3 linked regions of the Ovis aries genome follow. The protein of the gene in region 2 purifies or fractionates together with the protein of the main gene of each other region. This does not show direct contact. Links are inferred from orthologs where the notes say so. Each region holds a gene or a part of one and is shown on either strand. Other genes may lie near its edges. The genes, in order: KLHDC3, UBXN7 and NPLOC4.

Region 1 (3,650 bases), on a different chromosome or scaffold from region 2:
CCAGGGGTGGGCGGGATCTGCGGTGCTGACACCAAACCTTCCGGAAGGGGCGGGGCGGAAGCCTGCGTGGCGGAAGTAACGCCATTAGTCCAATACGCCGCTGAAGCCATGCCGAGAGCAAGCTACCGTGGCGGGGCGGTTGCAGGGCCTCCCAGCAGGGCTCAGGATGACGGGAGCCTGCAGAATGGTGAGGGCACGGTGCCGGGATGAGGGGAAGCGCTGAGGGCCGGGAGAGGGGCTCCGCGTCTGATGCGGGCTCACCCCGAGACTGCCAAGTTGTCTGAAAGACGCAGACACCGGGAGCGCCCCCCAACGCCCTAGAAAGTGGGGAGTGAGAGGATACTTACTGAGTTAGTTTTTTAAAGGGCAAAGAGGGTTTTTCGCAGGAAGAAAACTTACTTTCCAAAGCAGAGTCAGAAGGGCATTGATTATTGGGGAAGACTTAGGTGAAGATTCAACAAATTTCGCCACTATTGAATATCTATTGTACGCAGGCACAGTTCTAGATGCTGGAGGTACAACAGTGAGTAAAGCAGCCCAAAACTGCTCTCATGAAGCTTACTCTTTGGGGGTTAAAAAAAAGGCACGGAGACCTAAGGAATTGCATATTTTTAAAGGCTAAGTTTTATGGTATGTGAATTATTCTATAGTTTTGAGAAAGGTGATAAGAGCTTTGAAGAGAAAACGGGAGGGGTTATGGTGTTAAGTAATCACAGAAGGCCTCACTGAATAGGTGGTGGCATTTGAGAAACCCTGCGAAGGAGGTAAGGGAGCAAGCAATACAGCTGGTGAAAGTGTTACAGGCAGAGGCCAAGTCAGGTGCAGAGGAACTGAGATGGGAATATACTTGCTTGCTTAGGAACCGCTTGGAGGCCAGTTGACTGGAGAGGAGTAGGAAAGAGATAGTAGAAGAGGAGATCAGAGACAAAATGCGATAGGTCACATGGGATCTTCAGGCTATTACAAACCCAAAGCTTTTACTCTTGAGTAAGATGGAAGCCATTGGGGAGTACGGAGTCTGGAGAAAGTGATCTAAAAAATATGTATGTGGAAATGACATGGGAGCGATAAGATCAATTTGCCTCTTTTTTTGGAAAGAGAAAGCTACTTTATTATTTAAAGAAGTTAAAGTGAAAACTTCATGTCTCTAGTAGTTTCCTTCCTTTTTTAAAAAACAGTTTTTATTGGAGTATAGTTGATTTACAATACTCTGTTTGTTTTAGGGGTACAGCAAAGTGAATCAGTTATACGTATATCCACTTTTTTGGATTCTTTTCTGTATGGGTCATTACAGAGTATTGACAAGAGTTCCCCTGTGCTATACAGTTGGTCCTTATTCGCTATCTCTTTTCTATATAATAGTGTGTATATGTCAATCCCAGTCTGCCAATTTACCCCCTAATCCCAGATTTGCCTTTTAGGCATCTCTCCCATGTTCAGTGAACATGAACTTGGGCAAACTCCGAGAAACAGAGACAGGGAGGCCTGGCATGCTGCAACCCATGGAGTTGTAAAGAGTCAGACACAACTTAGTGGCTGAACACCAACAACTGGAGGCTGAAGTTGAGAGATAGCTTTGAAAGCAGTGAGACTGGTGGTTGGGCGAGCAGTAAGGAGGCTAGAGCCCTAAGTGAGGTGAGATGCTGAGCGTAAACTGAACCAGAATAAAGGTAGCTGAGCAACGAACGGAGACAGAGGTCTTTGTGGGAAAACCTGTGAAAGAGAAATTTAAAAGAGAAGGGGAAAACGAAGAGACTGTGGGTTAGTCCATCTCCAGCCTTACATGTATAGCTTCCTTAGCAAGGTGAGGCCCCAGATAGCTGGAATAGTTGGGGCGTTAGGTGTTAGTGGAGCACCATTACAACCTGTGTTGCCTGGAGCCTGCAGCGATCGGTCTAAAGGGTCACTTACCTAAGGAAGGAGGATGGGGCGATGTCTGCAGCAGTGGCAGATGCTGAGCTGAGTTGCAGTCCCCCCACCCCCACTTCCTTTCCCAGACACATCTCACATGTCATTCGAGGAGCTGTTGGAACTGCAGAGCCAAGTGGGGACTAAAGCCTACAAACAACTGGTAACAGGAAGCAGCACTAAGAAGCAGAGTTGTAGACCACCTGTCCAAAAAGCATGTGTTGCAGATAAGCACAGGTGAGGAGCAAGGCCTTTCCCGGGAGTTGGAGGGAAAGACCCCTACTTGAGTAGGTGTCTGCTTTCTTGGGTGGCAGGTGGGAGGCCTTTAATGAGACTGGCGTTCCCTTGACCTGTCCTTCACTTTTTCCATAGGCCTCTGGAAATGTCAGCCAAGGTCCGGGTGCCATTTTTGCGTCAGGTTGTCCCCATCAGTAAGAAGGTGAGGCGGAGGCAGTGAGCATTTTCTCAGGGAAAGGAGACAGAACGGTTCTCTTATATTCTCTGTTCTCTCCAAAGGTAGCCCGGGACCCCCGCTTTGATGATCTGTCAGGGGAGTATAATCCTGAGGTGTTCGATAAAACATATCAATTCCTAGATGACATCCGAGCCAGAGAGAAAGAGGTGAGTAGCATGCGGCTGGTTTGTGGGGATTCCAGGAGGGACTAGAGCACAGGTTAGAGAAGCAGAGGGGAGCAGGGCGAATCAGATTGCTAGTTGTGTGATCATTGGCAAAATACTTAACCTCTTTTCAGTTCAGTTTCCATATCACAAAAAGCTAATAGTTCCATTTCATAGTGTTACTGTGAGTTAACGTATGTGAACCTCTTAGAATGATGCTTGGCACAAAGTTTCAGGTAACATTTACAGAACGTTAACCATCATACTCATTTTCCAATATGGAGCTGGTGAAAAAGCAGCTGAAGAAGCGCCGTTCAGGGGAGGAGCATGAGAAACTACAGCACCTGCTTCAGCGAATGGTGAGAGGGTCGGAGTATGGGGCGGGAGGTGATTCACAGTCCCTGCCGTTCACCTGTCTCACTCCTCTCATCTCCGCTCCACAGGAGCAGCAAGAAATGGCCCAGAAGGAACGGAAGCGGCAGCAGGAGCTGCGCCTGGCCCTGAAGCAGGAGCGGCGGGCTCAGGCCCAGCAGGGTCATCGGCCATACTTCCTGAAGAAATGTGAGCGGGGCACAGCTACGGCCCACGAGACACAGGGGCAGAGACTGGGTAGCCATAGTGATGGATGCTGTGTTAGGGGTTCCTGGAGCTGCCTAAGGGAGGCATGAAGGCTGGATCCCATGGTAACTTAGAGGAAAGTAGAAACAGTAGTAATAGGAAGTCGTCGTTTGTAACCATTCTCATATCCCTAATGAGACTGTGGGCAGGGAGTGTCACTTATCTTTGTCATGCCCCCTCATATGTTGGGTTGGGCACAGAGAAGGAGCTCATGGTTGGTTGAATTGAGAAAGAGTGGAGTTGTGGAAGTCTGCTTTTACACACCAGTGAACCCCTGATGAGTCACATATCCCTGCGTAGTGGTTAAGAGTTACTGACCTGGGGCAAGGGGAGGCAGGGAGACTTCATCCTTTGCTTACTGATTTTCTTTCTCCTTGCCCTCTAGCTGAGCAGCGCCAGTTGGTCCTGGCTGAGAAGTTTAAGGAGCTGAAACGAAGCAAGAAGCTAGAGAGCTTCTTGAGTCGAAAGAGGCGCCGAAATGCAGGCAAGGACAGACGACATCTCCC
Region 2 (3,650 bases):
TCCCCTAGCTTATAAAACTGTATGTATCTCTGACCTTCCTCACTGTCGTGATAGACCTGTTAAGTCATTATACATATTAAAAAAAAAAATCAGCCTCTTAAAAAAGTACCTTGTTATATACCAACAGCTATTAATTCTCCAAAAACACCTTTGGCATATTAGGCTCTCATTGCCTACAGAGAAAATGAAGGTCACCTAATGTGAACTCTTCACTTCCTGCCTTCAGAGTCACTTCTGACCCTTACAGAAATACAGCAATCCATCCTTCCTCCTTGACCCAGTTCTTCCTTTTCAAGTCACCTGTCCATCTATGTCACTTCTGATTCTCAACTACACATATCTTAATAAATCACAATATGTTAAGATTATCAACTCAAGTGCCCAGCATACCTCTAGGCAAACAGATGCTCAATCAATAGTTGCTGAATAAAAGGTTACTGTTCAGAAAAAAACTTACTGAATTCAGGGGCCTGTAAAGAATGAACTGGCAAATTACTAACATTAACAGCATATCTTAGAGTGGGGAAAAAATTAATTCAGAAGTTTTTATTTTTTATAAAAATTTTTTTTGCTGCATTGCACAGCATGCAGGATCTTAATTCCCTGACCAGAGATTGAATCCGTGCTAGAACAAGATCACCTACTGTTAGCATGGTAATTTATATAAAAAGAAACCAGAGCCAGAAAGACTAAGTGACAAATTTAAGGACATACAGTTAAAGATTACCAAACTCAAGCTAAAATCAACATATTAAACAAAAGTTTCTCAATTCCTTCAAATCTTCTACATCTGCACTATCAATTATAGTAGCCCCCAGAACATGCGCTACTGAAGCATTTGAAATGTGACTAATCCTAACTGCTATACTATAAATGTAAAATACATACTAGATCCTGAAAACTTAACACCCCCCCAAAAAAACAAACCCACAACCCAAATGCCTCAATCAATATTTTAACATTAGTTTTATATCACAGATACTGATTTTTAAAATATATTAAAATCAATTACCTGTTTCTTTTGACTTTTAAAAATGTGGCTACAATAAAATTTTAATCATATTACATTTCTGTTAAACAGTACAGCTATACACTCTTATCAAGATGGTTAAAAAATGATGTTAAAATTCTTCTGAAGTATGCGTACTATATGGTTATATGGCTTGGTTCTTTTTTTTTTTGGCTTGCTTCCGTTTTTTCCTCCTTCCCTTCACTGATGCTCTAATTTTCTTTTGTCTTTACTATCTTACCCATTATGGGTGGCTTTATGTTTTCATATGTAATAATTCAATTCAGCTGGTTTTTTTTTTAGCTTATAACCTACTTCCTCCTCCTAGACACCACATACTACCAAAGTAAAATGCTATAAAATGTTTGATTAACTCTCCCCACCTGCCAGAAAATGAAATGTTCCCGGATAATATTCTTCACAGCTTCGTTGCTCCATACATCACGGTTGAGGCACTGGCATGCAAAGTCTTGTACATTTTGAATGTTTATCATCAGCCACTTATTTTGCATTTGGCCACACTCTTTGGCCTGTAAGAATAAAGTTACATAACAATTATTAGAAAGTTTCTACTTGGTAACAGGTGTGTTTCAGAATTCAGAAGTTATCTTCTTTCCATGTAAATACTAAGTTTTTTTGCTCAAGTATGACACCTAGAGTTTTCTGTGTATAAACATTAATTACATTTTTGCTTATATATACATGTATATACATTATACAGTCCATTTGCAAGCATTTTTCTAATTTAAATGAACTGTTTTCCTTTTATCCATTGTTATTTATTAGAGTGGCTGCATTTTATTGCACTGGTAAACATGTAAACCTCTTCACCTGAAAAAGATTCCACAAACAAGGGTACGATTCTATTGTGCTTTCTCTACTAATCCCTATCCAAAAATATACCTCTTCTTTTTAATAACTGTAACCAGTATGTGTGTATTAGTTTGTTATTTTTTTCAACATCATTTTACATACATTTCCAAATATCATATTCATCTCAATTATTAGGCACATGGCATTTTATAGATTCACTCTATGAATCTTTGACTAGAAGCTGCTGAGGATTTTTTCTCTCAGGGTTGTTTTCCTAGGTGTGTGTTTAAAAACTGAAACTACAGATGAAAGGATGTTTCAGAATGATCTCCAAAAGACTCTCCAATTTACAGCACAAGTATCAGTTATGAGTGTGTACTTTTTTTTCCCTTACATTGCCTTATCACAACATTGATCTAAGAAATATTACTGAACTGGAAAAGGATGGAAGAAAAGCAAATGAGCAAAAGCTACCTCAAACCCTCTTATAGAAACAATGACATGGAAGTCATAGCTTTTAAATGATTTTGTCAGAGAAACAATATATTTTTTCCCCAAATCAGTGTGACATGGGAAAGTCTTAAGAATCAGCTAAAACTCAGATTAATAATAACTGAAGAACATGTATCATTTCGGAGGTATTGGAAAACGTAAGACTATCTTCTGTTTAATAAGCAGGTTTACACAATCTTAAAAAATTGTTATTCTCCTTTTCTATACACATCTTCCAGAGAAAATAATTTTATAATATTCATTACTGATTCCAAAGGTGAAAATCTAAGTTCTAAAAGGAAGTAGCTTTATAATGAGCCAGAAAGCTACAATTAACCGGTCAAAAGCTTATTTTTAAGTATATAAAATCTAATAACTCCTTGCTTCTAGGAAGTGATAGTATTCCACTTAATCCCTTGCCTATAGCAAGCATGTGGATTTAAAAAATGGGTGGTAAGTGAGTAATTATACTGCTTTAACTGAAGAAAAGTATTTGAGAAGAAAGAAAAAACATTCTAGAGGGACAGACTAAATAGTACACATCCCTATAAGGTAAATTTACTAAGTCTGCCTTAACTGCAACACTGACCAAAAAAAAACCCCAAAAAACAAACAAAAAAACCCCACGTAACACTGAAAAATTTTTAAAAGGCAGAGTTCAAAAACAATGAGAGCTATCTGCTACTGTTTTTAAAAATTCATCTATTCACAGTCATGCTTTCATTCATTCAAATTCATTCATTCAACAGACATTTGAGTATCTACCATGTTTCAGGTAGAGCTATAGATGCTGGAGTTATAGCAGTTACCAAACCAAAAAATCCCTTCCTGCACAAAGCTTACAATGGGAGAAGCCTTATATAAGCAAAAGCAACTGAAAGATGTTAAGAAATTACTTTTAATGCAAATCAAAAATCAAAACTACAATGAGGTGTCACCTCACACCAGTCAGGATGGCCATCAATAAATAAATCTACAAAAAACAAATGCTGGAGAGGCTGTAAGGGAACCCTCCTACACTGTTGGAAAAGTACGTAAAGAGGATATAGAGGAAAACTTAATCTATTTCAATAAATATATATGCATAAAGTTGAAAACAAAATATACTAAAATATGCACTATACTTTCTTATGGAAATGGAAACTATTATTTTTCCTTGTTGCTTTTTTTTGGCTGTGCCTCATGGCATATGGAATCTTAGTTCCCCAAGCAGGGATCAAACCCACACCTACACTGGCAGTGCAGTCCTAACCACTGGACCACCAGGGAAGTCCCTCCTTGTTGGTTTTTAATTTTTCTCTAAATTTTGCTTAATTTGAATAAAAATATAAGCTAT
Region 3 (3,650 bases), on a different chromosome or scaffold from region 2:
TTATAATAAACCAGGGTCTGGAACTGCAGGCCTTGTGGCCTGTGCAGTGTGTAGCTCCTGTAGAGATATCAGTTCTTCCCTGGCTATATTTACACAGATTGTGTGTCGTCTACCCCCTTGACATTCTTGTTACTTTTTGAGAGCCACAGAGGAACTGTTGGACCAGGCCTTCTGTGATGGTTCACTTGTAAGGAGATGGAAGATGGCAGTAGGTGCTCACCCAGGAGACCCTGCTTGTCCAACCCTTCAGGTGCTGAATGTGCTCTGTAAGCAGGATCTGCTTTTGGAAGCACATGATGTTCCAGTTCAGCTTTGAGGAGGGTCCTTTCATGAAGTAGTTTAACAGTTCTGTTTAGAGTATGATTGAACAAAAAATGGAATCAGAAGCCTTTGGCGTCGAAACTACTCACAGCATCATCAGAGCTCCCAAATTGGGGATCCTGGAGGTTGAAACATGTGACCTCTAATAACCTCCAGCTCATTAGAAGTTGAAGCTCATGATGCCACATGTCATGAAACAAAAATCCTTAGGTTTGTTCTGAGTTTGTACTTTGAGCTGTGCTCTGGGTGTAGTAATCATCTCCATATGGGTCATACCCAGCAACATAAAGTTCTTTTGTTATTTTGCCAGGATTTGACTAATTTACAAGGATATACCCAATTAGCATAACTCAATTTGGAATTACCTTCACTTTCCTGTTTCATAGCTGTGTCTTCTGCTCAGTATGATGCTTAACTTATGAGCTGCATTTTGGTGCACATTAAAGATTTCAGCATGCTTTGTCTGCTGCAAGAAGTGGAGTCCTGTGGCCAGTGTAGGTTGCATGTGAGCCAGCCCAAGCCCCCCACTGCCCCAAGCTGAGTCAACAGGATACCCACTTCAGGTGCCCTTTTGTTGGCTTAGAGTGTGTTTATCTTCTGTGCTCTCTTATTCTGCCTTGCCCATGAAGCTAAGCACTGTCCCTGTAGAAGTTGTATGCAGGTTGCTAAGCACTGTCCCTGTATAAGTTGTGTGCAGGTTTTCCAAAGCTGTTTTTTCTGGGAATGAATGTTACTTTGTAACTCTAACCTTGCCTAATCTAGCCAAGTTTACTTGGAGTTAAACTATTTATCCAAGGGAGTTTTGAAACTAACTTCTATTCCAAACCAAGGAATCTTAAGGTGTAGAGAGCCTTCTCTAGTCCTGAACAACCACACGTTTCATGTGGAGCTGCTAACGTGAACCAGCCTGAATATTGCCTCTTCCATGTTCTCTGAATCTTGATCAAAAGCAAAGCCGAGCCCTGGAAGGAAAGAGCCTGGAGGGCTTGGCTTGTGGATCTGATTGAGCTTTTTTTACTGTTGAAAATCTCCTGTTTGGCAAGGGAGATTGGTGCTCCTTTGTGACAACCAACCAGAAATGGAGCAGAGCTGCTTGCTGCTTTTCTGAACTCCTCCTCTGAATCCGCCTTCTCTTTAATACCCCCACAGATTGGTACACAGAATAGCTTGGAGCTTCTTGAAGACCCAAAGGCCGAGGTGGTTGATGAAATTGCTGCCAAACTTGGCCTGAGGAAGGTACTGAGACTGTTTTTCCTTGAGGGAGGACCTGGGCTCTGTGTTGGGGACATCTAGGTGTGTTGCGTAGCCAGGCCTGATCCGGGACTGAACCCCCAGCTGCTCAAGGTCAGATGCAGGCCCTGCACGTTTTGAAGCCTCGCTTGTATTTATTGGGTGCCTAAAAAAGGATGCCAGTGTAGGGACTATTATGTGTAAATCCACCAGACATACTTCTTGCGGATTGCCTCAAAGTGGGCCAGGAAAAGCAGCAGGAGCAAGACCCCTACTTCTGCTGCAGGGGACCTGACACCAGGCTCTGTGTCCCACCTGCCTGCTAAGGCACATCCTTCTGGGTGTGAGCTCTCCCTTCATGTGTCTGTCTGCACCGATCATTTTCTCTCCCCTGCACTTGGAGATTCTGGTGGTTCCTCTTCAGTCCTCATTGAACCTCCTGTTTGTAATTGAGGCATCTGAGCATATAAGCCTTGCTAGTTTTCTGGGCAGTTAGAAGACAGAGGGTTTTCTCTTTGAACCTGTTCATCTAGTTTATCTCACATCTTTGGTAGAGTTCCTAGGAACTATAAAGATGACTTTTTATAGATAATGTTGAAATGTGAATTTGAACACATCTTAAAAATTCACTATTAATAGCTACGTAAGTTTTATCCTTTGTTTCCTAATCAGTTTAGACAGAGAGAAAAAGACTCTGTACAGATAAATGGGGGAAGACTGGAAATGTGCCTTTTAACCCAGGAATGCTATGGAGCAAAGTTACTACTTCATTTTAAGAAAAAAGACTCCTGTTGTTTCTAACAAGGAGTCAGTATCATGATTTAGGGGCGTATTTTGGTTTAAATTCTGAAAGTTTCTCATGTTGAAAAGAGAAATCAATGTTTTTTTTTTAAACCCATTTTTGTTATAAATGTTTGGTTCGTGGTAGACTAGAAGATCTTGAAATTACTTAAATGCCTTTCTCGAAACACTAATTCCTTAGCCCTTATCTCAGCTTGATTTTGATTCTGTTTTGTTTAATGGTTAAATTACATTTATCCCTTAAGTCTCATTTTCTCCATTGCCATCCTCCTTGGGAGTTTTGTTCATTTGGACATTTTTAAAGAAAATGAAAGCCTCTTGATTTGGCTGGTCATGTCTGCAGGAGATGGAGTTGAAGAGTTTCATGTCAGGGTTGTACTGGAGAGGGTCACAGACACCAGGTCACTTCTTTGAAGGACTGAAATAGGTGTGTATCTGGATTCCATCGCTGCTCTTCGACCTCCCAGCCAGGTTCTGGTTCAGGAAGGGTAACCAGCTGTGAGATTCATGGGCACAGGAGGGCCAGGGTTCACAGAGCGCATAGACAGGCACTGTTGCTGTAGCAGGACGTGCCAGGAAGGCTGACTATGCCGAGGTCTGGGATTGGCGTTTCAGATTCCTGTACCTTCAGATGCTTCCTTCAGCCCTGCACTGGCGCTCAGAGAAGCAGCTGGGTGAAGTCTCTGTTGTGTGTTTTCTTTTATTTTAAGTGCATTCTCTAGGGAGTATGTTCTCCTGTCTGGAGAAAGCCCTAGCATCTGGAGCGGCACTGTCTGTATTTGCTTGCTCGTTGTTTCTCCAATCCCCTTTTCACTGATACTCTGTTAGTTTTGTCCATCCCAGAGTCCCCTGCACCTAGTACAGTGCTGGGCCCAGAGATGGCGCTGAGTCTTAGTTTCTAACACATAAATGAGCTTTGCTCCTTTGCTCTCGTCTCCACCCGGCAGCATCAGGGGGAGTTCAACCAGTGTCAGCTGAGTACTGCTTGAGAACCCTGGTTTGGACAGTGGCTTAGCTGAGGAGCTGACTCACCTAGAAAGAAAGGACTGACTCCCAGGAGTCTCCTCTCTGGGCAGAGGCTAGAAGGCATTTGTCATCTGCTTCAGGGAGAGACTCAGAAGGTACTTTTCTCTCTTATGCAGGTTGGCTGGATATTTACAGATCTTGTCTCAGAAGATACTCGGAAGGGTACAGTTCGATACAGTCGAAATAAGGTGAGGTGGGGTGGGGATGTTTGCTTGGCGGGACCTTGTTACAGACCAGCTCTGGGCCGCACTCTTGGGTATCCCCGCACAGCT

Evidence for each region.
Region 1: the proteins of UBXN7 (region 2) and KLHDC3 purify together in Homo sapiens (affinity purification with mass spectrometry; 3 studies listed by BioGRID and IntAct, with this or other methods). This does not show direct contact. The link is inferred for Ovis aries from reciprocal best matches to the Homo sapiens genes UBXN7 and KLHDC3.
Region 3: the proteins of UBXN7 (region 2) and NPLOC4 purify together in Homo sapiens (affinity purification with mass spectrometry; 3 studies listed by BioGRID and IntAct, with this or other methods). This does not show direct contact. The link is inferred for Ovis aries from reciprocal best matches to the Homo sapiens genes UBXN7 and NPLOC4.

Annotation. Positions count from the first base shown.
Region 1 is NC_056073.1:16,656,427-16,660,076, forward strand, and holds part of KLHDC3 (kelch domain-containing protein 3), read left to right. Parts: intron 1-86; exon of another isoform or gene 87-108; coding exon of another isoform or gene 109-187; intron 188-1,997; coding exon 1,998-2,145; intron 2,146-2,280; coding exon 2,281-2,347; intron 2,348-2,424; coding exon 2,425-2,529; intron 2,530-2,810; coding exon 2,811-2,885; intron 2,886-2,969; coding exon 2,970-3,087; intron 3,088-3,529; coding exon 3,530-3,650. UniProt on the Homo sapiens protein: Substrate-recognition component of a Cul2-RING (CRL2) E3 ubiquitin-protein ligase complex of the DesCEND (destruction via C-end degrons) pathway, which recognizes a C-degron located at the extreme C terminus of target proteins, leading to their ubiquitination and degradation.
Region 2 is NC_056054.1:191,771,314-191,774,963, forward strand, and holds part of UBXN7 (UBX domain-containing protein 7), read right to left. Parts: intron 1,540-3,650; coding exon 1,393-1,539; intron 57-1,392; coding exon 1-56. UniProt on the Homo sapiens protein: Ubiquitin-binding adapter that links a subset of NEDD8-associated cullin ring ligases (CRLs) to the segregase VCP/p97, to regulate turnover of their ubiquitination substrates.
Region 3 is NC_056064.1:50,689,111-50,692,760, forward strand, and holds part of NPLOC4 (nuclear protein localization protein 4 homolog), read left to right. Parts: intron 1-1,470; coding exon 1,471-1,557; intron 1,558-3,494; coding exon 3,495-3,566; intron 3,567-3,650. UniProt on the Homo sapiens protein: The ternary complex containing UFD1, VCP and NPLOC4 binds ubiquitinated proteins and is necessary for the export of misfolded proteins from the ER to the cytoplasm, where they are degraded by the proteasome.